Pelodiscus sinensis: one gene and its partner. The main gene of each other region encodes a partner of the protein of the gene in region 2 in a complex. Links are inferred from orthologs where the notes say so. Each region holds a gene or a part of one and is shown on either strand. Other genes may lie near its edges.

What was found.
Region 1: the proteins of PDS5B (region 2) and WAPL are in contact, whole or in part, in a crystal structure (PDB 5HDT), measured with the Homo sapiens proteins. The link is inferred for Pelodiscus sinensis from reciprocal best matches to the Homo sapiens genes PDS5B and WAPL. Residues at the interface, in NP_055847.1 of Homo sapiens: Gln47, Phe88, Ala92, Pro93, Ala95, Trp137, Val138, Lys139, Ser140, Asn142, Ile143, Phe145, Glu146, Glu187, Gly188, Asp189; in NP_055860.1 of Homo sapiens: Lys7, Thr8, Tyr9, Ser10, Arg11.

The regions. Positions count from the first base shown.
Region 1 is NC_134718.1:18,739,916-18,754,993, forward strand, and holds the start of WAPL (wings apart-like protein homolog), read left to right. Parts: upstream 1-7,418; 5' UTR 7,419-7,575; exon of another isoform or gene 7,576-7,814; intron 7,815-12,536; 5' UTR 12,537-12,558; coding exon 12,559-13,051; intron 13,052-15,078. UniProt on the Homo sapiens protein: Regulator of sister chromatid cohesion in mitosis which negatively regulates cohesin association with chromatin. Involved in both sister chromatid cohesion during interphase and sister-chromatid resolution during early stages of mitosis.
Region 2 is NC_134711.1:298,200,175-298,215,438, forward strand, and holds the start of PDS5B (sister chromatid cohesion protein PDS5 homolog B), read right to left. Parts: upstream 5,676-15,264; 5' UTR 5,482-5,675; intron 5,443-5,481; exon of another isoform or gene 4,835-5,442; intron 1-4,834. UniProt on the Homo sapiens protein: Regulator of sister chromatid cohesion in mitosis which may stabilize cohesin complex association with chromatin. May couple sister chromatid cohesion during mitosis to DNA replication.

The DNA of each region.
Region 1 (15,078 bases), on a different chromosome or scaffold from region 2:
GTGCAAGGGTTCTTGTGCAAGAACACATACACATTGCCATGTGCCAGATGTGCTTTTGCACAAGAGCATCCATAGCAGTGTGGATGCTCTCTTGTGCAAGAAAGGTCTGATGGCCATTTTAGCCATAGGGCTTTCTTGCGAAAGAAATCCCTGCAGCGGGTCCACACTGCCCTCTTGTGCAAGAGCTGTTGCGCAAGAGAGCTTACACTTGTAAGAAAAGAGTGTAGCTCTTGTGCAAGTAGCTCTCTCTTACCACGCCGTACTGTAAATTTTCTTGAGCAAGAGCAGGGGGGCAGTGTGGATGCTCTGAGGATTCTTGCACAAGAACGGCTGTACTTGCACAAGAACCTGCCAATGTAGACATAGCCAAAGAGAGTCAAGGCACATGCATTTGGCCAGGGGATACTTGTGGGAGGTGTATGCACCCCATTACACCTCCCCTTTCAGCCTACTAAATAGCCAAAACCCTAACCTGGAAGGATAATACCTAAGGGAGCCTATGTCTTCATTGCAAAAATTCATGCAACTAACCTGCTGTAAAATGCTAGAGGAGACATGGTACAGCTGGTTTTCAATCTCACTGCACCAAGATGAGATCAACCCCAAGTGCGGGTACAGTGTTGACTTCAATGAGGTTTATTGAGGTCAAAACTACCGGTGCCTTCTCTCCACTAGGATTTGAAACCTGTTTTTTCCAGGAGAGTTGGACACTTGGAAAAAGACTGTTCTGAACAAACATCTGAAATTTAGATGTCTGACTGGTGGATGACTGCTGTTGGCTCATCTAGTAGAACCAGTATTTCCAGGGTCTGTCCTTAGGTGGAAAGGATGCTGCTATTGACACGCCTGCAACAGATGAGTGTGCAGGTTACAGGAAGAAGGTGGAAGAATACAATGTTTACCTGCTTGATGCCTGGATCTGACTCAGTAGTGCCATGGTTTGAATCACTTATCACACCCATGTAGCTGCTTGCTGTGTTCCCTATAACTTGTGCTTTATCCTAGTTAGTGATGCTTTAAGCATTACATTATTAAACTTTGATGTATTATGCATCAAATTAGGTTTTTCACATGCTGAAGGAGTCACACCAGGCAGTATGTGGTCAAAAACAGTATGAAGCAAGCTCTCCTTTTTCAAATCCTAGTTAGTCCCCTTTCTTAGGGGTTAGTTGAAGGAGATGTACAGAATTCTCTCCAATATCACAGCTTTACTAAAGAAGTCTATATACTTCCTGGAAAGCAAGCTTTTTCAGCATCCACAAAATCATACTGTAATGTTCCACTCTCCATTTAAATATCACTCTGCTTAACCCAATGATTCTAGCATGTTTTCAACCAGAGTAACTAAACATTTTTAAGAACTGCAGAGAATAGGAAATTGAATTGTTGCTGAAAACAAGACCTTCAACTGGTTCTGAAAGTCACTGTTATGTTGGCATAGACACAGCATCCCATTTTCAACATTATTTAAGAGATAGTATGTCAATGGTAGAACTCTCATTGACATCAATGCAGCCAGGATTTCCCTGGGTTCTGGATTATGTCAATCACAGAAGAGGTAGAAGCCTGAAACTAGAACTGGTCAAAATTAAAGCAAGGAGAAAAATGTGAATTGGGAGATATTTTTCTTCTCACTTGTGTGTGGCCTCAACTGTGAGTCAGTAGCCCCCACTCCTGCCTTAGAATCATGAACTTTACCGTATCATAATAAATTTGACTCAAGCTGCCCTCCTCTTCAAATTCTCAACTAATTCCTTCCTATTTGTCAAAATCAAATCTAGAATAGCCTCTCCCCGGTAGCTTTTTCTACCTTTTGAAATAAAAAGTTCTTAATACACTCCAAGAATTTGTTGGATAATCTGTGCTCTGCTGTGGTGTTTTCCTAGTGGATGTCTGATTAGTTGAAGTCACTCTGTTACTACCAGCACTACCAAGACCTCTGCTCTGGATGATTTTGTTTGTTTAAAAAAAAGGCTCATCCACCTCTTCTTCCTGGTTAGGTGGTCTGCAGAAGATCCCTTGCATATCATCACACTTTTTTTACCCCCTTTTATCCTTAGCCAATATTACAAGTCCGTCTCCTTCTTCCATCTCAACTTCAGTCCAAGGGACTGTGGGAAACTTGGCCACACCCGTGATAAGTGAACATCTGACTAACTAAAGTCATTCCAGGCCATGGATGTTGCTGGACCAGAGAGTGCTGGACTAGAGAGGTTCAAACTCTATTAGAGACAAAAAGGGATACAAGTTAACATTCTAAAAATACACTAGACTCAAAGGCTGTGTCTAGACTGCATCCCTTTTCCGTAAAAGGGATGCAAATTAGACACATCGCAATTGCAAATGAAGCGGGGATTTGCATAAACATGGCTGCCGCTTTTTTCCGGCTTGGAGCTTTGCTGCAAAAAAGCACCAGTCTAGATGGGGATCTTTCAGAAAATAAAGCCTTTTCTGAAAGATCCCTTATTCCTTTCCGAAAGATCCCTTATTCCTCTTAAAAAAGGGAAGACAAAGGACAAGGTAGGCCCTTTACTCAATGAAAGCAGAAAAACTAACAGAAAATGAAGTGCCTAATGACTTTTTTGTTTTAGATTTCACCAAGAAGATTGGTGGCAATTGGATATCTAGTATACGAGTGAAAATGAGGTAGGAATAGAAGCTAAAATTGGGAAAGTACAAGTTAACAATTTCTTAGATAAATTGGATGTCTTTAAGTCAGCATGATCTGATGAAACACATCGCAGAATACTCAAGGAGTGGACTGAGGAGATATCTGAGCCATTAGCTATTATCTTTGAAAAGTCATGGAAGATGGGAGAGATTCCAGAAGATTGAAAAAGGAAAAATATAGTGCCCATCTATAAAAAGGAAAATAAGGACAATCTAGGTCATTACAAACCAGTCAACGTAACTTCTCTACCAAGAGAGAGAATGGGGGAAGTAATTAAGGAATTAATTTCTAAACATCTACAAGATAATAAGGGAACAAATAACAGTCAGCATGAATTTGTCAAGAACAAATGCCAAACCAAGTTGATAGCTTCCTATGACAGAGAAACAAGCCTTGTGCAAGATGGAAGCAGTAGATGTGGTATATCTTGACTTTAGTAAAGCTTCTAATACTGTCTTGCATGACCTTCTCATAAGCAAACTATGAAAATGCAATCTAGATGGCCAGTGTAGACAGCTCAGATTTGTTTTGCGCAAAAAAGCCCTGATCGCGAAAATGGCGATCGGGGCTTTTTTGCGCAAAAGCGCGTCTAGATTGGCCACGGATGCTTTTGCGCAAAAGTGCTTGTGCGGAAAAGCATCTGTGCCAATCTAGACGCTCTTTTCCACAAATGCTTTTAGTTGAAAACTTTTCCGTTAAAAGCATTTGCGGAAAATCATGCCAGTCTAGACACAGCCAGAGAGAATGGAAAATCACTGCATAGGAAGGAGAACTGAAGAAAGGGATCTGGGGGACATAGTCAACTACAAGCTAAACATGAGTCAACAGTGTTGCAAAAAACCCCAAACACCATTCTGGGATACGTTAACAGAAGTGTTGTAAGCAAGACATGAGAAGTAAAGGAAGTCCCCAACTTACAAACAGGTTGTGTTCCAAAAGTTTGTAAGTCAGTTCTTTGGAACTTGGAACACATTTTCCCATAGAAATAATGTTAAAAATGGTAGTTAGGTTTCCAGGCTAGCCCACAAAAGCTTATTTAACCCATAATGTAGCAGAAATACTCTATATTTGCAATGAAAAATAGTAGAAATATTTTTTCAACCTTGACTTGAACACTGGTGCTTGAGGAAAGGAAGATTTAATTAGAGCAGGATGAGGAGCTAACGGGGAGGGGGGAGAGGGAAGGGGTGCAGAGGGAGCCCCTAGGGATGTTAGATAGCGTGTAATTGAATATTTGTGCAACTACATCAAATGTTAGCGGTTATACAACTATTTGATAGTCCCCAGAGATGGGGTTGGCAGCCAGTGCACTCCCGGGGAGCCACCTGTTACCCAATGCTGCTGCTCAGGGACAGGGCATCAGACTCTGGAGCACAAGGTGTTGGGCTCAATTCCTCCCTGAGAGTGGTCAGACAGCCCACTGCTGTTGCAGAGGCAGCAGTGAAGGGTGGCAGGTGGGAGCCAGTCCACAGGGGGAGTTGGTTTAAACACCAGCTCCCCGCTGACAGAGGCTGCTCTGCGACAAGAGTCCCTATCTTTGGCGGGCCCAGGCTCACCATGGACAAAGGCTGCTCTACAAGATGCTGAAGCAACCAGTAGATCCGGATCTACCAGTAGATCTTGTAACCTCTGATAGGTGATCCTGACTGATTTGGCCAGGAATCTATCAAGTGCTGGCACTTCAGTTGCCCCTCCCCCCACCAACCTTCCTTCTCATCTCCAGACCCAACACATACGTGGGCGGGTTGTTGTTACTTCTTGCAAAGTGGGTTATTTTTAGTGTTTGACTGATCTGTGCATTTCGTAACTTTCATTTCTCTCTTAGGCTTAAATGTAATTCTTTGAAAAGTGAGTTCTAAAAGGCCTAAACTGTCATGTCTGGAGTCATTATCCCTGTGGTAATTGTGCTCCCGGAAGTGGCTGGCATGTCCCTGCAGTGGGTCTCCACACGTTGTCCTTGCCTGCACACACCACTCCTTAAACTCCCATTGATCAATAATGGAGAACCATGGTCTGTAGGAACTGTGGGGTTGGTGCCTGTAGATGAGGGCCAGTGCTATACATGCCAGCTGCTTTCAGGAGTAAGCCTGCCTTAACTCTGCTGCTCCATATCTGGGGCAGCTGTCTGGCCACTGTCAGGGAGGGAGTGAGCCCAACATCCTGTGCTCCAGAGGAGGATGCCCTATCCCTGAGTTCACTGGAGATCCCACTCCACCTCCCTACCTTGAGCAGGTCCTTTAGCCTCCTTTCCAAATGCAGGAGCCAGCTCTATCCCTGGGGCAGCCTGTGTTGGCTGTCTGGCTACTTCCAGGGTGGGCAGGGGCAGGACTAGAGTCCCCAACCCTATCCCCAGGAAAATCCCCAAGACCAGTGTTCCTCAACCTTTTTTTTATAAAGTACTCTTTAAAAAAAAAAAAGTATCTACAGTTTTCAGACACACACAATTTTTTTCTATCGTTGCAACACATTTGTTTAAACAACTTAATCGTAGCCAGGCAGGTGATGAAATGTTTGGGTGTAAAAAATACAAAAATAATAAAATGCTGTAAAACTTAAAAGAAAAATTCAGTTTTCTCCAAATTTCAGTTGTGTTGATATACCTCCCAGACTTCTCTTGGGTATCCCTGTGGGTATTCGTACCACTGATTGAGAAACACTGCCCTAGACCACTCCGAAACCCACCCCACCCCCTTACCTTCAGGGCATCCCCTCCCATACTCCGAACCCCATGGCCGAAGACCAGAGCCTGCACTTCAACCCCCTACCACAGCCTGGTGAAAGTGAATGAGATTTGGGGAGGAAGGAGGATGGATGGAGTGAGCAGGGTGAGGCCTCGGAGAAGGGGGGAAGGAAGCCGCGCAAGGGTATTTGGGTTTGAGGTAGATCTTACATTGCATTTAAATAGAAAAAGTGATCTTGTGGTTGAAAAGGTCAGATACGATTGAGCTAAGCCCTACCTTGAGCCCCCCTACACTTCCTAACCCTCTGTCCTAAGCTATCCACCTTCTCTCTCTCCTTACCTCTGAACCCTCATTTGCCTCATTTTCAAAAAAATACAAATGAAATAAAATATGTAGAGCTAGATAAACTGCGGCAAGAGCTACTTGCCAGCCCCACGCCGCGCATGCGCCAGACCAGCACTGCACGTGCACAGCGCCAGTGAATAGGGTGCACAGAGCGACTGGCTGAAATCTACTCGCAACGGGCGAGTAGAAACAGCGGTTTGTCGAGCCCTGAAAATATGTATATTTTTATTTTATTTTCCACCCCCCAAAAGTCAGTTAAAGACCTGAGCAAAGCTGGGTACTAGGGATGTTAAATATTGGTTAATTGAATAGTTGAATAACCTCATTAATTCTTATTGGTAAGTCAACTATTTTATAGTCCCTGGGGGCAGGGCCAGCAGTCTGTGCACCTCACTCCCAAGGAGTCCCCTACCACTCCATGCTGCTGCCTCTGTATCAGAAGCAGCAGAGTGGGGTGCCAGGCAGGAGTTGGTCTGCAAGGGAAGCCAGTTTAAAAACCTGTCACCCTGTGCTGTTGCCTCTGATAAAGAGGCAGCAGTGCAGGGTGGCAGCTTCCCTTGCCTGGTGTGTGTGTGTTTGGGGGGGGGGGAGGGGAGTCTGAGCTCCCAGACACAGCGTGAGCTGGAATTGAGTCTGCCTGGCTCCTAATGCACTTTAAATACAGTGCCGCAGCAGGGGTAGGTCCCAGACTTGGCATGAGCCAGGACTGAGCCAGGCTGCTAAAAAATTTACTGGTGGACTAGAGGGGAGGGAAATGTGTGTAGTCTACAGAATTAACTTATAAGCTTTTGCTTATCAGTTAATCAACTACACGCTTACATCCCTAGTGGGTACATCAAGCAGAAGGGTTAAACGTGGAGATTACTTGACAGACTAGCTGTAAGTGAATTTGTTCTTACCGCACTCAGCTTTCTCTACAGCACTTTATTTTCATGAGCTAGTCAGAGACAGAAATAGATGAATAGCTTTGCTGTTTTGACTAGGATTAGTGGAATAGTGGTGCACAGAATTTTGCTGAAGGATGTTCAGTGATAGCCTTTGTGATGCTTTTTGACTAACTGGGATTTTTTATAAAATGTTTCTTCTGTGGACTGTGAGTAGCTGTTGGCAAGTGGAGTTTGGGCAATAGCTGCATGATTTGAAGTATTGCAGGATTCTAATTAGAGACATTTGTTATGGATGGATAAGTCAGTCTCTTGTTTCACCCTCGCTCGCCACTCCGGAGGTGGAGTTGACATTGTTTGGGAGCCTTAACTGGAACGTGTTGCTCGGAAGATCCGAATTGCAGCGCAGTCACACTGAGCGGAGCGGGGCCCGGCGGCACGCGCCAGACCGCCCCAAGCCTCCAGAGAAGCAAAGCAGGAGGCTGAGTGGCAGGCAAGCCCGCGGTCGAGAACTCTGGACTGCAGCCCTTCCCGCCACCGCAGCGCACGGCCCCGCCCCGCTGAAACGTCACCCGCCCCTCCGGAGACAAACCGCTCGCGGGCACAGCAACGTCACCCGCCGTCAAGCACCCCCCGCCCCCTTCCGCGCGCACGCTGGCGCCTGATGCAAGGCCGGCGCGCGCACGGAGCTGCACCGCCCTGGAGCACCGAGACAAGCAATTGGAGACTGGCGGGGGTGGGAGGCGATTCCCCTAACTCACCCTCCGCGTTATGAAACTACAGGTCCCAGCGTGCCCCGGGCGCGCGTGCGCAGGGGCGTCCCAGCGCCCTTTCGGGGGCGCATGCGCGGCGGCGTGTGGGTCGGTTGAGTAAGGCTGGGCGCGATTGGCTGCGGGGAGGCGGCCGAGTGTGGGAAGCGCAGTGACGGAAGGAGCGGGGGGCAAATGGCGGAGAGATGGTCCAGGGCCCTGTTCAAAGAGCAACGATAATCCTGGTGCGGAGAAAGCGGCGCCGGAGGAGGAGGCGCCGGGGGCCCTAGCGCCAGCGCCCACCCCCACCCCGGCGAGGGAGGCTCCGCTGGGGGGGCGGGACGCGGAGGAGTCGCGTTGGCGAGCGCGTCCGCGGGCGGCGTTTCGGGGCCGAGGCAGCCGCGTTCTCGGGGCCGAGTCCGAACCGCGCCGGGAGCAGAAGCCGGGTCCCCCGCCGCCTCCCTCCTCCCTGGGTGAGACCGAGGTGGGTACCGGGCGGCGGGCAGGGCCTGCGCGGCTGCCTGGCTCCCGGGGCCTGCGCGGCCTGCAGCCCTCTGAGAAGGCCCCGTTGCCCCTTACGCCGGCGGCCGCTCTTGCCCCGCTTTCTGCCGCGGGCGCTGCGCCTCGGGGAGGGGGAGGCTGGGACGTTCCAGCGGCCGAGGGACGCCGGGTCGGGCGGAGGGGGGGGAGGGGTGCGTGTAACTTTCCCTCCGCGCAGTTCCCCGGGAGCTGTGAGCGGGCCCGGCCGGGGGGAGTTGAGGGAACTTTTCCCCCCCTCCCCTCGCTAGCTTGCGGCTGGCCTCAGGCGCAACTGTCTGGGATGTGCGGAGGAGCAGGTGGCGCTTAATCAGGGGTGGGTGCGGAGCCTGCTTCTGCTTCCTGTTCGCGCTGGGTGGGAGCCTCCGCCACTCAAGTGAGAAGCTACTTGGGTTCTTTCTACTGTTTGGCGGTTCAGGGGTTTGGGATGCGAGAGCAGGGACGTGAGAGGCTTCGCATTCCGCTTTAAGCCTGCACGAAGAACAGGATGATGGTGATTCTCTGGGGATTTCATTAGCTTCATATGTCCAGTACTTGACCTATTTTTCTGTCCTTTGATTATGAAAGGGAAATAATTGGCAAAAGAGTAACAAGTAAAGAGAAGTGGTGTGCGTCCCTCCTTTAAAACGAACTGTCAGGTCTGGTTGGGCCACAGATTTCAGAAAACAGTGGTTAAAAACGGGGAATAAAGTTCTTAAATTAGACTTTAGTTAGCAGCTTGCATACTTTGCAACTATATGCAAACAATGTATGCAATTGTTTGGTGTCTAAGTATTGCACCATTGCGCTGGAGTAGGACAGCTAAAAAGTATTAGGGCATAGAAGTGAAAAAGTGAAACTAAAATATGTTGTTGATGAGTGAAAAGCAAGAAGAGTCAGCATTAATAGGTACAGTTTAATTTGGGCTCTTAAGTATTCTATATTAATAAACTAACACTGGCAAGGAAGTATTTTTAAAGTATTGTTAATCTGACTATGAAAGTTAGAAGCCATATTTTGATTAAGTGACTATTACTACATCATGCTTATAGGTTCATGTTTAACATATCAAGTAACAACACAGCTTTTAATGTCTTTATTCTTGTTTAGTCTTATAAAATAGATGTTTCAGAAGATAATTGAACATCTATGAAAATAGCAGTATTTTACATAAGGAGGTTAGTCATAGGGCAGGGCTTTATAGTCTGAAATTAAAAGACTTTTAGTCAGGGTGGGGTAAAACTTGCATGTTTTTTGTGAATAAAAAATATCTTTTCCCTGAGGGTAGGAGCTGCATAGGCTATCGGTTTCTACAAAATTCATTTTGCTTAAATATGTTTTCTAGACCTCATGGTTGTAAAGATGGCATTTGAAATATGAATAGTTACTGTACTCTTTTTGAGCCTTCAGACACACATCATTTGCCTGCTCTATTACTCATTCCTGAGAACTAATCATTTTGCTAAGCTTTGCTTTTGCAAGTTTAAAACAGGGAGCAAGTTTTAAAAGTACAGAGGATCACCTCAGATTCACTTAGCTCCTTGAAGGGGAAAATGGATAATTAGAGGTAAATATTAAACTATTGACATAGGAGAAATAAATGAAAGGAGAGTAGCTACTACTCAACAAAGAGGAGGTTCTAAATGAGTGTGAAGGAGTAGAGAGAATTGCAGAGCATGCTAATTTTACCAGTAGCTAGAGGTGTCAGTTTCAAATTAATCTACACAATAGTAGAAATGGCAATAATATAGGTAGTCATAAGTGGTATCTTACAAATTAGAAATAATTTACCATATTTTGAAACTATTAATAGAGGAAATGTTTATCAGTGCAACTTTGTCTCAAGGATGCAATAGTGTAGTCAATTAACAGATAAACAAAAGTTTATCAGTTAATGCTACAGACTACATGCATTTTCCCCTCCCCTCATCCGCCAGTAAGTTTTTTAGCAGACTGGCCAGCAGCCTTTCTCAGTCCTGGCTTGTGATGGGTCTGGGACCTACCTGTGCTTAAATACACCTCTGAATTTCAAGTGTATTAGGAGGTAGGTGGGCAGGCAGCCCAGCTAAGTGCCAGCTCATGGCTGGTCCAGGAGCTCAGACCCCTGCTGGACGGGAGCTGCTGCCACCCTGCACTGTTGCCTCTGTATCAGAGGCAGCAGTACAAGGCGACAGGCAGCCAGTCTGGGAGGGGAAGTGTTTTATAAACTGGCTCTCTCACGGACCAGCTTCTGCCTGGCACCCCATATTACTGCCTCAGATACAGGGGCAGAAGTGTGGCGTAACAGGGAGCTCCTCTGGAGTGGGGTGCACTGGCTCCTAGCCGCATCCCCACAGACTATAGAATAGTCAAGTAACTGATAAGGATTCATGAGGTTACTTGATTATTCAATTAACCAGTATTTAAAATCTCTACTTTGTACCCCCAATTTAGGATTTATAGGAACAGATATTTATCTAAGTGCAATGTAAATGTTCCATAAGTTTGAAGGAAAAAATTAGCAAAACGTGTAATCTGACTTCCTGTAAAATTCCACTTCTACATCTGTATTTGCAGACCTGAAGATTGACTTAAGTTGAAATTCAGTGTAAAAAAAAATAACTTTATCTATTACAACTGCCCAGGCTGAGAATCTAAAATTTAACAGTATAGATTAAGGGAAAATGTTTTATGTTTAATGTAAATACAGCCTAAATATTTAATTGATCTGCTTTTGTCTTCAAATTAAAATAAAGGCAGCAGGAAAACAACGAGAAACAATGGTCTCCCCTGTGACCTCTGTATAGTAAAGAACGCTAATGGCCAGATTTCATGAGCAGACACCAGGTTTCAGTCTATGATGTAGTTTGCATGACTGAATTTGATAGGACCCTATATATAATATAATTCTGTCTTGATGCACAGTAAGCTCATTGATTTTTGCCCTGTCTACAATGGATAACCATCCTTTCTATAACAGTCCTTAATGTATTTGAAACTGCTAAGATGTTTCCCCACAGTCTCTCTGCCATTAGTCCACATCTTTTTTTAAAGCATGATGACCAAAACTGGATGCAGTACTCCCATCAGAGGCCTACTCTGTACCAAGTGGGACTGTCAGATTCCTGTTAATACATCCCATGTTGATACTAGCCTTTCTTGCAGCTGCATCACATTGTTGACTCATGTTCAGTTTATGATCCAGTATTGTCACCAGTTTCTTTTTGGTATTACTATCATGTAACCAGTTATTCTGCATCTTGTATTTGTGCATTTAATTTTTCCTTCCTATTGGGTTATTTTGCACTAAATGAAATTTACTGAATTTAATTTTCAGAATTCCCAGCAATTCTCCATTTTGTCAGGGGTGTTTTGAATTCTAATCTTGTCCTCCAGGATGCTTGTGACCTCTCCCAGATTGCTTTCATCATCAGGTTTCATATGCATATGCTCTGAGCATGCCATTCTCCAAGTAATTATTAAAAATATGAATATCCGCATCCAGGTCAGACCCCAGTGGGACTTCACTAGAAAGATCTTCTGTGTGAAACCCAACCATTGATAACTACTGCTAGTATATGGCGCTTGGAGGATGGGGTCTTTGAGAGAGTTTGGTTGAAGAAGGCAGTTGTGTCCTACGGTAGAGGACTGGCATGCAGGATTTTGGGATGTGGCCTAGGATAGGAGGGGATTGTGATCTGGGACAGGGGATTGGGGTGCCAGATCTGGGAAGGGGGTATAGGGGCAGAGGGTTAAGGAAGGGAGGTGCTGGGGTGCCAGAGGTAGGCTCTGTCTGGGAGGTGCTTAACAGCAGAAACCTGAGGCAGACTGCTGCAGGCTGCTCACTGCTCCACATGGCTCCGCATTGGGCATGAGAGGGAGGAGAAGGGAGATGGGATAGAGGAGGAAGGGACAAGGCTTGCTACACTGCCCCTGTCTAGGACCTTGTCTGTCCTCCATTAATAGTCAAATATAATTATTAATGGTTCAAAAATTATTTCAGCTTGCTGCGTAAGTACCCTATGGGGAAGACACGTTTTAAAAACCAGACTGGATTATAGTCTGTCTACTCTAACATGAGCTGCACATACAAATATGGAATGAAAATAGTCTAAAGTTAGACAAAATACACAACCTTTTTAATTTTTCCTGAAAATAATGGCCTCAAGCCTTGCAAATGTAGGTATTATGTAGGAGTATGATATGGAAACAGAACCATCCAAATATTTATTCAGAGATCCCTGCATATCTGCAGATATCTGCATGCACAGGTGTGGATGCAGATACAGATTTTCTATCTAGAGCCCTGCAAATTTGCAGATATCTGCTTCATATCCTTGGGTATATCCATTTGTGGATCTGGATATCCATGTCTCTCTTTTGTGGATAAGGAGACACAACATTTTGTATCTGTTTAGTCATAGCAGATAAGTTTTTATTGACTCAAGGTGGTGAATTTCTACTAAATAAACAGGGACAAGTGAGTGACTGTTGTATATTGAGAGGCATGATATCTGTTGCAGAACTTGCTTTAAACAGTGTGCATTTTTTAAATGAAGTGAATGATGCCAGTCAGAAACAGTACTAACTTACAATACTAACTTAAAAACGAACATCTATGGTATCTCTAATAAAGAGTGGGAAAATAATCATTTCTACTAAAAACAACAGTATACTGAAACTAACTTTTATATATTTTTTTTTCACACAGAGAATATGAAACAGTTGTCAAAATGACATCCAGATTTGGAAAGACATACAGCAGGAAAGGGGGAAATGGCAACTCAAAGTTTGATGAAGTCTTTTCTAACAAAAGGACCACCCTTAGCACAAAATGGGGAGAAACCACATTTATGGCCAAATTAGGACAGAAGAGGCCCAATGTCAAACCAGATATTTCAGAAATTCCTAAAAAACCGAAAGTCGAAGATGAGGTAACAGAAGATCCATTTGGATTTGACAGTGATGAAGAATCTCTGCCAGTGTCTTCAAAGAATGTATCGCAGGCTAAAAGCTCTTGTCAGCTGGAACCCATTGAAGTTGTTCAGTCTGAGGACTTCGCTTCTTTACTTGAGGCTAATAGCAGAATTCATCAACCAATCAGTAGAGACAACATTGTGTCCAGCAAGAGTCTATCTTTTGACAATATTCTTTATGGGTTAAAAGAAGAGAGCACAAATGTAGAGGATGAAGAAATCAAAAGCAGCAGAGCTGATCTCATAACAGGTAAATTTTAGATTAAACAATTTTATAATACTTAAACATGCTGTGATTTTTAATAATCTTGTTCAACTTTTTTTTTTAAAACTGTTGCATCTCCTCAGCTTTGTTTAAATGTTGGAATAAAACCTATGACCAAATAATCTTGCATATGGAGAGCAAAAACTAACTGGATACAGAAATTTACAATATTTTATGTATCAAATGTAAATTAAGGGATCAGCTACCATGTTCTAAAAAACACTAGCTTTGCACGCAGTTTTGAGGTGTATTCTTTCTTCAGTATGCCTCTATACTTCTGCATATCTCCTACCCTTAAGCACAAGTAGAAATTACATTGTTTCTAGATGATGCAACTCAGGGGATTGATGAGTCCTTTTAGGTAGCTGGTTTAAATCTGGCTACAGACAGGTAGTGAGTGATAAGATTGTCTGGCCATTAAGTTATATGAAATGAGTCAGTGTACTACATTTTCTCTTTTCATAGTTGGGGATTAGTTTCAATACAAATCAAATAATTAAATAGGCATATAGTTTGAAGTTCCTTCAGACCTCTAGCTGTTTTCAGTTTAGAATTGAGGCAGCGTAAATGATCTGGTACTGTTCTTACCTATGCTTTGTTTGTTCTGGATGAGTTAGAGATGTGAAGGTATACCTGTTCACATGATGAACCTGGGCTCCTTGGTTAATTGTGTAAACAATTACACACAGCTTTCCTCCCCTTGCTGTCTCTGATACAGTCGCAGCGTAGGGGTGGGCAGGTGGGAGCTGATGCTCCCTGTGCATGCCAGCTTCCCTGGAGCTGCTTCTCCTCCTCCTTCCTCCTCCCCATGATAGTTACTTCAGAGGTGGCAGCAGCAAGGTGGGTGTGGGACAGGTGAGCATGGCCCTGCGGAGCTACCTGCCCTCTATGCTACTGCATCGATACTGAGACAGCAATGCGATGGGAACGAGAGAGGACAGACCAGAGCTGGTGCTCACAGGGAGCTGTCTTTTCCTGCCTGCGGTTATGCATTTACAAAAATACATGCGTTTTAGCAGGCATACACATGTATTAAGATGTATACACTTAATTCTTTGGGGCTCTATTAATAAGAACCATATTCTCTTTTATAAAAAAAAAATCTTTGACCTTATTTCCATTTACTTCAGAGTTTTGACATAGATCTGATCTAATCACAGCTGCTAAAATTGCAACTTCAATTTTTCCAGTTCAAGCTTTACATTTTATGTAAATATAATGGGCTGTACTGGGCCAAATGCTGTCAGGATGACACTTTGCAGTCTTGCTATATTGTGTCTTGTTTAGAATGTCACATTTAAATATCTGTTGAAAAAAAATTGAGTCCTGGTATGTTAATTGTCGAGAGAAAAAAGTAGACTCCAGCCCACTTGCCATACAGTAGATCAAGGTGGCATTTAATGGCTAAAGATTATTACAACCAAGGAGTTTGCAAGTAAGACAGTACTAGTCATGGCTAGACAGTAAAATAACATGGCTGTAGATTTAACAAAGTATTTGGAAACTAAATCACTTGAGTGTCAGAAATGAAGGTACAGTGGAAAAGAATTTCACTCTTGTTTCACTGTGTGTTCTGTTGTTTTTCTATTTTCCAGAAAACTACTTGGCAAGAAGCAGTGAACTTTCACTTATCAGTCTGATCTAATTTATATTTGCAGAATACTAAAATATATTTTAAAGTTTGGACTTGCAATATCAGTTTATTGTAGGTTAAAAGCCAGCTTCCCCTCCTTCCTCCCCTCCCCCAACACCAGCTCCCATCTCCTCCGTCCCCCTCTGCTTCTGTGGCCGGTGGGGGAAGGGAGAAGGTGGCTCCACAGAGTCAACACATGCAGAGAGCTGGCTTAAAAGCTAACTCCCTGCGTGTACTGGCTCCTGTCTGCCCCCTTCATCCTCGGCACTGTTGCCTCTCTATCAGAGGCAGCAGCATGGAGGTGAGGCGGTGCAGGTGCTTTTGTGGAATTTGGTTCTCCCGCCTCTGCCCTCACTTTGGTACAGAGGCAGTGAGGTAG
Region 2 (15,264 bases):
AATCTCTCAATTTTTGAATTTTTCTCTTTTCTAGTTTAGCTTTTCTCAAAAACATATTAGGCATAGCTGTATTATACTCAACTCCCATGTGAATGAACTGGGTTTGATTCATACAGAAGCAGAGGCTAGCACTGCTCACAGACTACTTGTAGTATAATGGGAGGGGAGCCCCATTCAGTAGTTGCCCTTCCAAAGCCAGTGATAATTAGACTTCTAGTTCATAAGTGAAGGTCTAGTCCTCTTTATGAAGAAAGGTATTAATGATAACATAAGCAGCAATAATGTAGGGGGATTATGAAAAGGATTATCTGGGTTCTGGAATTTAAAGGACACATTTTTTACTGAAATATGCATTAGCAGATGTGGCACAAGTGTGAAAAATAGCACAGTTGAGAAAAATCTGCAGTAGGACTCCAGAGTTTCTCAAAGCAGTTGACCACTTATTTCTACATTCTAAAGATGGATTACTAGCTTCTTAGATATGCACATTAAAAGGTAAGAGTGTAAATTAAAACAAAGTTAAGAGCAAACATGCACATTTATATTTTCCTAAAGGACTAAATTTCATTTAAAAAATTCTGATAGAAGTTGCTTTTACTTCTAAGGTTTTATTCTTCACTTCCATCACTTACATTTCGCAATTTCTATGAAAGTTAGCTAGAACACCACACTTTATTTGTAAGTGCTGACATTAGAAAAAAAAAGTATTTGTGAGGACAGAACATGTATCATTTGTGACAAAATGCAATTTATGTAAAAAAAGAAGTCTACTTTATGCCTTGATCTCTATCACACACACTATTTACAATGTTACAACCCATTAAGCAACTCTTCAAATCCATGTGATCTCTCAGAACTGACTATTTTTTTCTATGTTGATTTAATCCAAACAGCAAAAGACTGTATTCTCATGTACTATTTAGGGCCCCAGCTCTATACTAATTATGTCAACACTGATCAGCATCTCTCAAGTCCTAGTGATACCAAAGGAAGATAACTGATTCGGAAGTCTTCACCTGAGGATAGAATCATGGCCAAATCTAGAAAATCTCAGATTAAAAAAAAAATCAACATATACCATCTAAATTAGATGGTGAGTTGCTGTTTTATCATCTCTCACCACAAACACTACCCCCAAATTACAGTAAGCTGAGGCACAATAGCCAGAAAACACACAATTTAAAGGAAAAGGGACTGCTGGCAGGGGATTGTCCAGGAAAAGCCCTCAGCACTAGAATTCACTACTTCACTTTCAGGATATGCTTCAAGGCCTATCTATTTTCTCAAACTTTGGAGTGTGATCTGTATTAGGTGTGAAGGAGTGAGGGAAGAGGTTTGTGGTATTTAAGGAGGTTTTATCTTTTACTCTTTTGCATTTGATTCTCCATTCATTATATTACAGGAATTACTTTTGATTAGGTTTGCTGTATTTTAAGTTTCTGTATGATGTTAATTTTATTTTTGTGAAATCTTTTAGAGCTCTAGTGTAGCCACTTGCCTGAACCACAACAAATATACACATTTGTTAGTGCAATCCCTAACTAGCCATGTTCATCTCAGTCAAAATTATTTACCGTTTATATCAATACTTTGTTTAAAATTAAGTATACACTACTATCCTTAAAAACTGAACAAAATCAAATTTCCTGAAAGACCAACACACACACACACACACACACACAGAGAACTTTTACATGTTTGGTGGCAGGGAAGAGACTGTATCCATTCTTAAAGGCCCTGTGTTCTGGCAATTCTTCTTCAGCAGAAGTCTGCACAATTACCTCCAGAATGTCTGTGCAACCTAAGCATTGTCCATCAAGACAGACAATTTACCCACAGCCTAACACTCTCAGAGCAGGACCAGTCCATTTAACCTTTTTAATACACTAGGGGGCTGCACCCACTGCTTGCTATGCTCACTAACCCCCCTCTCGCGGCCACTCCAGCCCTAGTCCCTTCCCCTCCACCTCTCCCGGCCCTGGCTGCACCAGCCAAGGATGTTAAATTTCAAATGACTAATCAAATAATTGATGCAATTTGCTCTGACTCTTTGATTAGTCGATAAGGGCACCTCCACTTTTAAAATGTAGGAACTGCCCCAGGACTGTTGCTACACTTCAAAGGAAAAAGCGCTGCGGGGAGCGCAAGGCTAAAGGGGCAGTCCCCCACTGGCCCCATGCTTCCCGCAGAGTTTCAAAGCAACAGCACCGCAGGGAGCCCAGGGGCTCCACACGGCACTGCCACTTTGAAGCACCCCCATTTCTTCCCCCACTTGCTTCCTCTTTCTAATAGACAGTGTGTGGGGGCAAGAGGGGGGACGACTAAATCAACACAGTTGTTGACTATCTGATAAGCATTTGCTTACCACATATGTGAATGAGTAGTTGACTGTCTAGCACCAGCCAGGGTCCATTCTCCCCCGCTCCCTTGCCATGCCAGCCTGAGGCCCTTCTGCCATCTCATTACCCCCTCTGCCAGGCCCTGCCCCCGGCATCTGGGGAATGCCGGTCCGCAACACACCTGCCTGGTTCTCCAGGTGGCTGACCGAGAAGGCCAGGCTGGCAGTGGGTGGGGCCAGGAGTAGAAGGGAAAGGTAGGGATTTACCCACCCATGCCTACCCCCCAGCCTGTGGATACTGTGACGTGATGTCGCTTTTTTGTCCCACAGGTTAGTTTGTTTAAGAGAGAGAGAGAGGGAGAGAGAGAATGAATTTTCACATACTAGCCCCAGCTCAGGATTAATTCTAAAACCATTCCCTCAAGATTCTCACTCTATTTTCAGAGTTTATAATGGGATATAACTGTACGTTGGGTGCATAGTTCCAATCAGACACTAGATTATTTTTATAACCTTAAGCATGAACTGTCATATCAGCACAGAGTGCTAGACACTAAAACTACCACTAGACAGTAATGACAGAACTGCTCTGGAAAAGGCAAAGAACATGTAAGGAAAAGAGACAGTAAAGGAAGGAAAGCCTCTTACCAATGAATTGGGGCTGAAGAGTGTCAACAAGGGTGAATAGAGAAGAGATTATAAATTTGCTTTCATTTTTCCAACCCTGCTTTTCCTATGCCTAAAAATCACTCTCCATCGCATACTATGGATCCTCCTTTCACTCATCTGCATCTCTTCTTCTGAGTTGTCCAGTGGAAAATACTCTGTTTGTGCAACAAGTGGAGTATGTGGTCTTTTCCAAATCCAACCTTAAAAAACCACTTCCTCCAAGAAGTCTATGATCATCACTAGACTTCAACAATTGTACAATATAATTAATATTGTCTTATGTGAATAAATTGTGCTGTCTGTCTGAACTAGGCTATACATTTGTTTCATATACTATACCACATGAAGCACAAGATCAGTGCTCGACCAATAACAATAGTTCAGAGAAGGGGATACCAGAGGAAGAGGAAAAAAAAAGATAAAAATATATCCCACCAGAAAAACTCCTGTTATCAGTCAGACATATAGCACTGCCTCAAGAAAAGGCTTTGTACACATCCGAAAGAGAAAACGTAACAAAGGATTACGCTTTTCCTTTTCAAATGATTGCTAATTGTTGAAATTTACTTAAACTTTAAGCTTTAATTTCACTGAACTATCCAACTTAAACCTATATTTTGAACAACAGTACTTGACTTCTCCAAAATGTGTTTTAGCAGGTGATGTTGCTGCATAGGTCTAACATTCACATTTCCACAACTTCAGTTTATTCAACTTCTCAGACAAAACACCCAGGACTACAGTTTGTTATACCAATCAATTGGAACAACAACTAGTAAAAAGTGTGAACAAAGTATTAGGTACTACCACTAACCCATAAGAGTAAGAAACATGGGCACAAGAGAAAACAGATTGAATACCTAGGCACAAGGTGTCAGACTATTATTGTTTTTCTCTTGTACATACTTTTCAGACCTAAATGGTAGGCACGTGGCATATTGCAGTCAAGATAGAGAATCAAGAAAGGATGCTAACAGTAACATAACATTTTAATTTAGGATGTCTGTGCATAATACACACACAAATGTTTCAATTCCACATTGCTTAAATAATCAGTTAGCCTGGTTCAAATAAAAATGAAATAGAATATATAGAAGTTGCATAACATTTTACACACAAAACGTACTATATCAACTTTGATCTAATAAATTAGAACCCATTGTTGTTTTCAGGAGGAAGACAACAGCTTTGTTTGGAAGGGAGGAATATGAAAGAATTCATCTTATTGCATACCCCTTCTGAAGTCAAAGATTTTAGATATATTTTCCATTATACACCTTCAACGTTTTATATTTTCTACAATGTTTATCTATTATACAACTAATGACTAGATAATACTGAACATGACTAAAGTGCTTCTCCCATCATTTCATAAAGTGTTGAAATCAAAAGACAGAATAGCATGCAATAAATATTAAACCGGAGTTAATATAGCACACCTGAAAAGACAGTAATAGTTATCAATAGATAACCATTTAAAAGTCAAAACTCATGCAACTCGGAATCACAATAGAGCTTTTATAGTAAAATTCAGTCCTTTAAAAGCTCAGCTATTGCAAATGAATTTTTAGATTTGTACACCATCATGTATTGTTGATTTGTTTTGAAGAACAGATAGTGAGTTATTTGCTGCAGTATGAAGTTACAGATAGATTCCTTGACCAGAGACTCAAATAATATATATTTTCTACACACAGTGTCCTTTACTTGTCAATGCATGTATAAAATGTCATATTTATTAACTAAATCCATATCCCCCCCCCCTCCCCCAGAACGGGGTAAAAGAGAAACATGGGTGAACGAGCTTTGCTGAAAATAGTGACCCACCAAATCCAGGTCTCAGTAACCACCTCCCCCTAGCTAAGTAGCCTGCGATCGCTGGGAAGTGGAGACTATCGACGGCAGCTACTCGGGGTCGTGGAGGGCGAAAGGGCTGCGGGAGCCCTGGGTGCTGCTAGGCGGGGGGCGAGGCCAGCTGCCCGGGGCAGGAAGGGAACGGCCAGCGCCTAGGGACTCACAATCGTTAACCCTCTCGTCACGGCTCCGCCACAAGGAACCACCAGCAAGCAGCACATTGAGAGCGCGACGCCGTCCGCCAGGGAAACTGCACGAGCCCAAGTCACCCGGGGAAAGGGGAGCAACCCACAGCACCACCCGCCAACTCTGGGCGAAGGAGCAAAGCCCCGCCAAGGTCACCCCCCGCCAGGATTCTCCCCCCCTTCCCCCCAGTGACTTAGGAAGAGGAGGGGGCGCCAAGTTTGGCGTGTGGAGGCAGAAGAGAGCACAGGGGTGGCGAGGGAAAGGTTGCAGCTGGGGGGAGGGGGCTCGTCGCCGGGCCGGGCTCCCCCACACACTGGCCGTGCAGCATGGCCCGGGCTGGCGCCGCTCCGGCCCGGCTACAGCGGGGGAGAAAGGAAAATGGAGCAAGGCGCGGGGCGGCTAAGGGCGCACGGCCGCGCCACCGGGCTCCTTACCTCCCCTGCAGCAGGCGCCACCGGGCTCCTTACCTCCCCTGCAGCAGCCGCTGCCTTCCCTCGCCGCTGCCAGGCGGGTCCGCTCCGCGCTGCCGCTGCTCTAGGCTCGGAGAGGAGCCGCCGCCGTTGCTGCAGCCAATCGCCTCTAGCCCCCTCCCCTTCCGCAGCTCGCCCCGGTCTCCCTATCGGCTTCAAAATGGCGCCAAGTTGTCTCCGGCTGTTCCAATGGAACCGCCGAGAGAGGCTGCAAGGCGGAGCAGCAGCGCCCCCTGCCGGCTGACGCAGGCAGCGCCCTGCCCAGGCGCGGGCAGGCGGAAAGAGCGCGCCAGACTCGCGCAGGAACAGCTTTCACAGCCCGTTACCCGGTCGTGGGGCGAGACCCCGCGCATCGCTCTATAAACCCGCGCAACTCGGCCGTAATGGCTGCGGAACAGACCCGGCTCCGATTCCCCCACGTAAGCAACGTACAGAAAACTAAACTGCTGCTGCCATGACAGCAAAGTCTGCTCAGTGCTTCCTCGGCCAAGCAGGAGAGGGCCAGAAATTACACTCAAACGAAAGCGTGATCCGTCCCTCTGCCTATATAATAATATTCACTGCCTGGGCGCTAACGCTTACTTCCCGCAAGGGAAGCGAAACTTCCACCCCTAAAGAAAAACCAGCCAAGATGGTATCTCAGCAGCTAGGCACCAACCGACAGATCACAAGGAAAAGCAACAAGCTAAACTGTTATACTATAGATCCCCGAACACGAAGTTGTCTTACTAGCAGAATACCTACCTATAGTAACTTGGACCTACCAAATACCGAAAGCAAGGACCACAGAGGTGGAAATAGAGGGACAGTGCACTGTCCAAATCCAGACTGGACTTTGCAATGAATATCACGTGAGAAAGAGAGACCAGACATGCATTCTATTCCACTGTGCAAAAGAAATGTTTAGCAGGAATTATAATCTATATATAATAGAGCAATGATGAATAAATGTGTTTAACCTTGCGGTGGATGGGAGAAAGGAGAGCTGAGCATCTCCAGTGTGGGGCATTATTTGGGAGGAAAGTAAGCACAAACGTGGTTCAATTCCACTTCCCAGGTAAACACTAAAAAGAAGGGAGCCAAAATATCAGAAAACAAAACTAACATGTTTAGTTTATAAAAAATAACTACAGTTATTTTTTTAAGTGAGGGCACTCCACTCACCAAGTCTGCTAATATAAAGGCTTTGTCTAGACTAAGGCTAATTTTTGTTATTAGGTAACATGTTGCCCTAGTGTAGACAGGTTTCCTAAGATTCTCCTCAGCTATCTAAGGGTATGTCTACACTGCAGAGTTTTTTCAGAAAAACGGGCGTTTTTCCAGAAAAACTACACTTACATCCATACTGCAATGGCGATCTTTTGACAGAAAGTCGAAAGAACGCACGGGGTTTTTCCAACAGCGATAATAGTAATCACAACTCAAATGCGAGATAGGATCCAATCAATGTGGATGTTATCCTTCCAAAAAACATCACTTTTTCAATGCGCTTTTGTTGTGTAGATGCTTTCTTTGTAAAGAAGTTTTTCCAGAAAATCTCTTTTGGGAAAGCTTCTTCCAAAAGAAGCCTGCAGTCTAGATGTAGCCTAGCACATTAAAATATAATATGTGTGGTCTCCAGTGACGTTTTTAAAATATGTTAGAACATGCTAACAAAAACATTTTTATTATAGACTAGATAAAGCCTACAAGAGTAAATTATATTCATCGTTGCCAGAATTGTTAGTTTAATGCAATTATAGGTCCAGACAAAATTCTGGCCTTCTTTACGTCTTTTCAACTCCCTCTTTTCCACCCTTCTTGAAAACAAAAACAACACTGTACAAGTGTAAAAGAGGGCAACATTTTACCTGTCAAATCTTTATTGCTGGTGGTAATTTATCTGAAGTAAAGAACCCAGTTCAACTTTTAGGGCACAGAGGAAATTTGTTGCACTGGCAGTTTGGGAAAACATTTTTACTTTCAAGCTGAACACATTTGATACATCAATAAGAATTACAATAAATTTCCCATGTGACCATGTAATATTTTGTCTTTCCCAGTTCTCTATTGTAGTGGTCTTTACCTAGATTGTAAGATTTATGGTTAGGTCTTTATTTGTTGTGTGAAGTGCTATACATATATATAAATCTCTCTATATAGCTGCAGTTTAAATGTATATAACAAGTGTAACAGTTGTAGACTAATTGTTGACTTTATCTTCTTGCCATTCCCTATTTCTATAAAGTGTGTGTCTTATCCCTCATTTATGGGACAGGGAAGGGTACTTATCCCCTATTCTTATGTTAGGATGCCTGACAGCTGTGCACAGATATTTGGAGACTGAAACATGGTAAAGTGGATGCTATGAGAAAGCCTAAGACTTAATTCCCAATCATCAAAAGGTTCTCAGAAATGCCTGCACATTTTCACTTAGTCAATTCAATCATTTCAGAAGTTAACACTTTCAAAGAAATTCCTTTATTTTTCCCCCTCCTATACCACATTTAATTTCCTTGTAGGGGTTTGAATACAAACAAAATAAAATCTACCACTAGTTTACAAACTACCACACTTAGCTTCTTCTTACTGCTTGGTAAATCAACAGCAGTACTTTTCATTTTCCTCCAGAGGGGGCCCTTACAGCACCTCTTCTCATGAGGGTTAGCTGCTTGTTCCTTCTCAACTGTCATAGAGGGATGCTGGAACCAGGGTGGCAGTGTGGCAGCACCTTCAGGCTAGAAGTAATAATAGCAACTGAATGCACAGCTTTCATCACATTCCGGGTTTACAGTTTTGTTCAATGGCTTTCAGCATCCCTTTTATAAACATTTCTAGTATCCCTGATATTATTCTTGACTTCCAGAGATCATTCTGATTCCAAAATCTCCTCTTCTTCTTATAAAGGACGTGACTCAAAGCAGGCAAACGCTGAAGTTTAGAAAGAGGAAAATAATCTCTACATAGGTACCTTATTATACATATGGCACATATTCTGCTTCCATTGCTCCAGCACCATCTCTGAATGTAACTTACAGCAGAAAACAGTTCCTGGTGCTAGCACTGCAGAAAAATGGATGTGCAAACTGCCATAAATTGGATACTTGCCCTGCAGGCTGATAATCAGAAATACTGCCCTGCCCACACAAGCTGTAGGAGGCAGCAAGGAGATGCTGTTACTCAAACAACCAAATCGAGGCACATACTGACTGAGGCTAGTGATGAGACTTTACAGAACACTCTCATTGTATGTTGCATTAAAGTTATATAAAAATTAAAATTACCAGATTATGCTGCTATATTCACTGTGGTATAAATCTGACCTGTGCTTCAGCTTTCCATCTTTAAAAATGAGTACAATAGTACTTCCCTATCTTAAAGGAATACTGGGAGAATTAATACTTTAAAGACTGCAAGATTTTCAGATACTTTGGCAAACTTATGTAAATACAAACTTATGTAAATACTTTAGGCAGAGAAAGGCTCATGAAGAAACACCATTTAGACCATATTCTCTTAGCTGTTCTGGTTGCTCAGTGCAAATCAGAGTAAAAAACCATGATGATGTCTATTGGCAAATATGGCCTCTTTTCCCACGTACTGTTAAAGATAATAGTATCCTAAAAAGGACCTAGAAGATTGATTCGACATTTCTACATCATTCTCTGGTCTCTTTCCTTACTGAAATAACCCTGAAGTCAGATGACAAAAGGGTGTGTGTGTATACAGCTCATAAAAGCTTTCAGGTGAAGCACAGAACACTAGTGTCCAATCTAAACCTCTCCTGCTGCAATTTAAGTCCATTACTTCTTGTCCTATTATCAGAGGCCCAGGAGAATAATTTTCTCCCTCATCCTTGTAGCACCCTTTTAGCTACTTAAAAGCTGCTGTTATGTCTCCTCTCAGTTTTCTCTTTTCCAAAATAAACAAACCCAATTATTTCAGTCTTCCTTCATAGGTCATGTTTTCTAGACCTTTAATAATTTTTCTTGCTCTTCTCCCGACCTTCTCCAATTTGTCCACATCTTTCCTGTGGTGCCCAGAACTGCACGCAGTATTCCAGCTGAGGCCTACTCAGTGCAGAGCGGAAGAATTATTTCTTGTGTCTTGCTCACAACACTCCTGTTAATTCATCCCAGAATGAGATTTGCTTTTTTTTCTCCCCAATGGTGTCACACTGTGGACTCATAGCTACCTTGTGATCCACTCTGATCCCTAGATCCATTTCTATAGTACTCCTTCCTAGACAGTCACTTCCCATTTTTTATATGTGAAGCTTATTGTCCCTCCTTAAGTGCAGAATTTTGCCTTTGTTCTTATTAAACTTATAGAATCATAGAGGAGACCTCAGGAGGTCATCAAGTCCAGCCCCCTGCCCAATGCAGGACCAATCCCAACTTCAGCCTATTTCTCAGACCATTTCTACAGTTTGTCCAGGCCATTTTCAACTATAACATACCTACTCCTTGCAGCTGGTGGGAATGTTGATCTTGCACAACAGTTGAAATCAGACTCAGTGACTCTATCACTAGCAGCCTTTTGATACTGTTGTTTTCTTTAAGTTACTGTGACTCTCAAAGCAACGTAGCAATAACTTCTCTTTCTCTCTCTCTCATTTCCTTACTCTTCCTATTATCTCTCTTTGTCTCTAAGGAGAGCTGTACAATTAGAATCCCTTATGACAAAACAGTAGGAAAAGATGCTTATGCACTCTTCCGTGTTGTAGCAACAATAAGACTGGCTGACATCCCTTAGATTGTAAGCAATTTGGGACAGGTACTGACTTTACTGTGTTTACAGTGCCTAATGTAATGGGATCTCTATTGGGATATCGAGCTTTTATTGCTTTCCAAACAATTAATAAACTTGGATAGCAACAGCAATACGCATATTGAGTTACAGAACAATAACTGTCTCAAACCTTTTCCTTAGAAGCTTCTGATCCCCAGCTTCTGTCCTGCCTTCCTGGCAGTTTTTTGTCTCCAACTGTGATGGAACCTTCTCTTGTGCTTTATAGCACCACTACCAGTCTGCCTTATACATTATCAGTGACTACTCCAATTACTTACGAAGTATACAATCAACAATATTAATTTTAACAAAAAAAACCACCAAAGCAGTTACTCTCCAAAATATATGAAGCTTAAGAAAAGAATTGTTCCTGTCTTTACTTTCTTTCACTGCCTTGAAGATAGATGCCTTGCTGACAGATAGGGTGTCAGAGATTTAGCATTCTTAGAGGCTGCAGGAGCAGTCTGCCTCCTTGACTGGCATCAGTAGAAATGATTTAAACCAAAGTTGTTAAAAGCATATACTAATCCAGGGCTACACAACATGCAGCCCATGAGCTGCATGGAGCTCGCAGTCCATTTGTTTGTGGCCTACAGTACAGTTTATGCAGGACTCAACACGTGGCGGGTGGGAGCCAAAACAAAGAAGTAGTCAATCTAATGGTCTTCAGTTGATATGCATTTTAGTAGTTAAATTCCTGGACTGTCATTACTCATTAAAAGTGCTGTCATAGGGGTTGGAAATCTGGTAAATATTGTAAATATCAGCAGAACTGACTTAAATGGGGCCTCTGTGTTGTGTAGTCTTGCCTTAATCTTTGTATTCATGCCCATCAATGTGAAAGAAGCTATTTGCATATATTTGCATGTATGTGCAACCACACTTAAGTTGTGGCCCTCAGCATGTGCTGTGAATATCACTGTGGCCCCCGGGGCTTGCAAAGTTGAGTAGCCCTGTTAATCTGTATTAGGGAGGGATCTGTTAGGAGGGAAGTAATATTGTAGAATGGCCACAAGGGGGAAACAAGGGGCCAGAGATGGGGACTAGGACAGCTATAACCTCATTAGGCCAGCAGGGGGCAGGGGTGGAGAAAGGAACAGCTAGCCACTATATATTTCAGAGAGTTTGTCCGTTTGTGTGTCAGTTTGTCTGTGTATCTGTCCTTTAGCTGCAGGACTTGTACCCCAGCTGTGCCCATTTGCAGCTGCAGCAGCCATGAACAGGCACTTCTCACCTTACCCCAAACTGCTGGGGTGAAGAGGGCTGAGATTGTCCTCTCTCCCCAGAGCAGCCTACATACTGAACCCCTAATAGACATTTATCTAACCTACTCTTAAATATCTCCAGAGATGGGGATTCCACAACCTCCCTGGGCAATTTATTCCAGTCTTTAACTACCCTGACAGTTAGGAACTTTTTCCTAATGTCCAATCTAAACCTCCCTTGCTGCAGTTTAAGCCCATTGCTTCTTGTTCTATCCTCAGAGGCCAAGATGAACAATTTTTCTCCCTCCTCCATATGACACTCTTTTAGATACCTGAAAACGGCTATCATGTCCCCCCTCAGTCTTCTCTTTTCTAAACTAAACAAACCCAATTCTTTCAGCCTTCCTTCATAGGTCATGTTCTCTAGACCTTTAATCATTCTTGTTGCTCTTCTCTGGACCTTCTCCAATTTCTCCACATCTTTCTTGAAATGCGGTGCCCGGAACTGGACACAATACTCCAACTGAGGCCTAACCAGTGCAGAGTAGAGCAAAGAAGAATGACTTCTCGTGTCTTGCTCACAACACACCTGTTAATGCATCCCAGAATCAGGTTTGCTTTTTTTGCAACAGCATCACACTACTGACTCATATTCAGCTTGTGGTCCACTATAACCCCTAAATCCCTTTCTGCCGTACTCCTTCCTAGACAGTCGCTTCCCATTCTGTATGTGTGAAACTGATTGTTCCTTCCTAAGTGGAGCACTTTACATTTGTCTTTATTAAACTTCATCCTGTTTACCTCAGACCATTTCTCCAATTTGTCCAGATCATTTTGAATTATGACCCTATCCTCCAGATCAGTCGCAATCCCTCCCAGCTTGGTATCATCTGCAAACTTAATAAGCGTACTTTCTATGCCAATATCTAAATCGTTGATGAAGATATTGAACAGAGCCGGTCCCAAAACAGACTCCTGCGGAACCCCACTTGGTATACCTTTCCACCATTAATAACTACTCTCTGAGAATGGTTATCCAGCCAGTTATGCACCCACCTTATAGTAGCCCCATCTAAATTGTATTTGCCTAGTTTATTGATCAGAATATCATGCAAGACCGTATCAAATGCCTTACTAAAGTCTAGGTATACCACATCCACTGTTTCTCCTTATCCACAAGACTCGTTATCCTATCAAAGAAAGCTCTCAGATTGGTTTGACATGATTTATTCTTTACAAATCCATGCTGGCTGTTCCCTATCACCTTGCCACCTTCCAAGTGTTTACAGATGATTTCCTTAATTACTTGCTCCATTATCTTCCCTGGCACAGAAGTTAAACTAACTGGTCTGTAGTTTCCTGGGTTGTTCTTATTTCCCTTTTTATAGATGGGCACTATATTTGCCCTTTTCCAGTCTTCTGGAATCTCTCCTGTCTCCCATGATTTTCCAAAGATGATAGCTAGAGGCTCAGATACCTCCTCTATCAGCTCCTTGAGTATTCTAGGATGCATTTCATCAGGCCCTGGTGACTTGCAGGCATCTCACTTTTCTAGGTGATTTTTAACTTGTTCTTTTTTTATTTTATCTTCTAAACCTCCCCCTGTCCCACTACATTCACTATGTTAGGCATTCCTTCAGACTTCTCGGTGAAGACTGAAACAAAGAAGTCATTAAGCATCTCCGCCATTTCCAAGTTTCCTGTTACTGTTTCTCCCGCCTCACTGAGCAATGGGCCTACCCTCTCCTTGATCTTCCTCTTGCTTCTAATATATTTATAAAAAGTCTTCTTGTTTCCCTTTATTCTCGTAGCTAGTTTGAGCTCATTTTGTGCCTTTGCCTTTCTAATCTTGCTCCTGCATTCCTGTGTTGTTTGCCTATATTCATTCTTTGTAATTTGTCCTACTTTCCATTTTTTATATGACTCCCTTTTTTATTTTTAGATCATGCAAGATCTTGTGGTTAAGCCAAGGCGGTCTTTTGCCATATTTTCTATCTTTCCAACGCAGTGGAATAGCTTGCTTTTGGGCCCTTCACAATGTCCCTTTCAAAAACTACCAACTCTCCTCAGTTGTTTTTCTTGTCTTGATTCCCATGGGACCTTACCTATCAGCTCTCTGATCTTACCAAAAATCCGCCTTCCTGAAATCCATTGTCTCTATTTTGCTGCTCTCCCTACTACCCTTCCTTAGAATTGTGAACTCTATGATTTCATGATCACTTTCACCCAAGCTGCCTTCCACTTTCAAATTCTGAACCAGTTCCTCCCTATTTGTTAGGATCAAATCTAGAACAGCTTCCCCCCTACTAGCTTTTTCAACCTTCTGAAATAAAAAGTTGTCTCCAATGCAGTCCAAGAACTTATTGGATAGTCTGTGCCCCACTGTGTTATTTTCCCAACATATATCTGGATCGTTGAAGTCCCCCATCACCACCAAATCTTGGGCTTTGGATGATATTGTTAGTTGTTTAAAAAAAGCCTCATCCACTTCTTCCACCTGGATAGGTGGCCTAGCATGACATCACCCTTGTTTTTAACCCCTTTTAGCCTAACGAAGAGACTCTCAACACTTCCGTCTCCTATGTCCATCTCTACCTCACTCCAAGTGTGTTCATTTTTAATATATAAGGCAACGCCTCCTCCCTTTTTTCCCTGTCTATCCTTCCTGAGCAAGCTGTACCCTTCCATACAAACAGTCTAATCATGTGTATTATCCCACCAAGTTTCTATGATGCCAACAATGTCATAATTGTACTTATTTATTAGCACTTCTAGTTCTTCCTGCATGTCTCAGGCTCTTCTCTACCTCCTTGAAGGACAGTAAACCCATTCCTTTGCCTGATGTGGTTGCCCTTGCAGACACCTCAGCACTCCAGCCATGGGGCAGAACAGTCTCTGGGCAGTCAATGGCTATTGCAACTTGTGTTGCATGCATCTAATGTAGCAGTTTCTGCAGGCTGCCTCCCAGTCTCTGCAGGAACCCAACCCCCTTCTCATCCTGAGGACTGTCATCAGCTCTCTGTGGGCACAGCTCATGTTGCTGAATCCTACTCGCCCTCCCTTAAACATCATGCACTACTGCATCTGGCCTCTAGACACTAGTTCTGACTAGTTCATCATGGAGTAGTAGGGTGACCAGAGGGTCAGCCCTGCACATGTGCCGCGTGCTGGGGGTAGGGGCTGCCCACATGCCCTGAGCCCAAGGCCGGCACCGCCCATGTGCCACATGCCCGGGGCAGGAGCTGCCCACGTGTCCTGAGCCCAGGGCCGGCACCATGCATGTGCCGCGTGCCCGGAGCAGGGCCACCCATGCACCACGCGCCCGGGGCCGGCACCACGCATGTGCTGCGGGCTGGGGCCAGCCCAGATGTTTTGGCGGGTGCACATAAATGCCCCGGCGGGCGCCATGGTGCCCACGGGCACCGTGTTGGGGACCACTGGACTACAGGCTGTGGCTAGACTACACCTCTCTGTTGACAGAGAGATGTAGATTAGGCATGTCGAAATTGCTAATGAAGCAGGGATTTAAATATCCCGCGTTTCATTAGCATAAACATGGCTGCCTTTTTTTTCTAAATGGAGCTTTTTTGAAAAAAATGGCTGTCTAGACTCAGACCTGTCGAAAATAAACCCCTTTTCGACAGATCCTGTAAACTTCATTTATTGAGGAATACAGGATTTGTCGAAAAAGGGTTTATTTTCGACAAATCCATGTCTAGACTGCAGTTTTTTTCGAAAAAGCTCCATTTCGAAAAAAAGCCGCAACTATGTT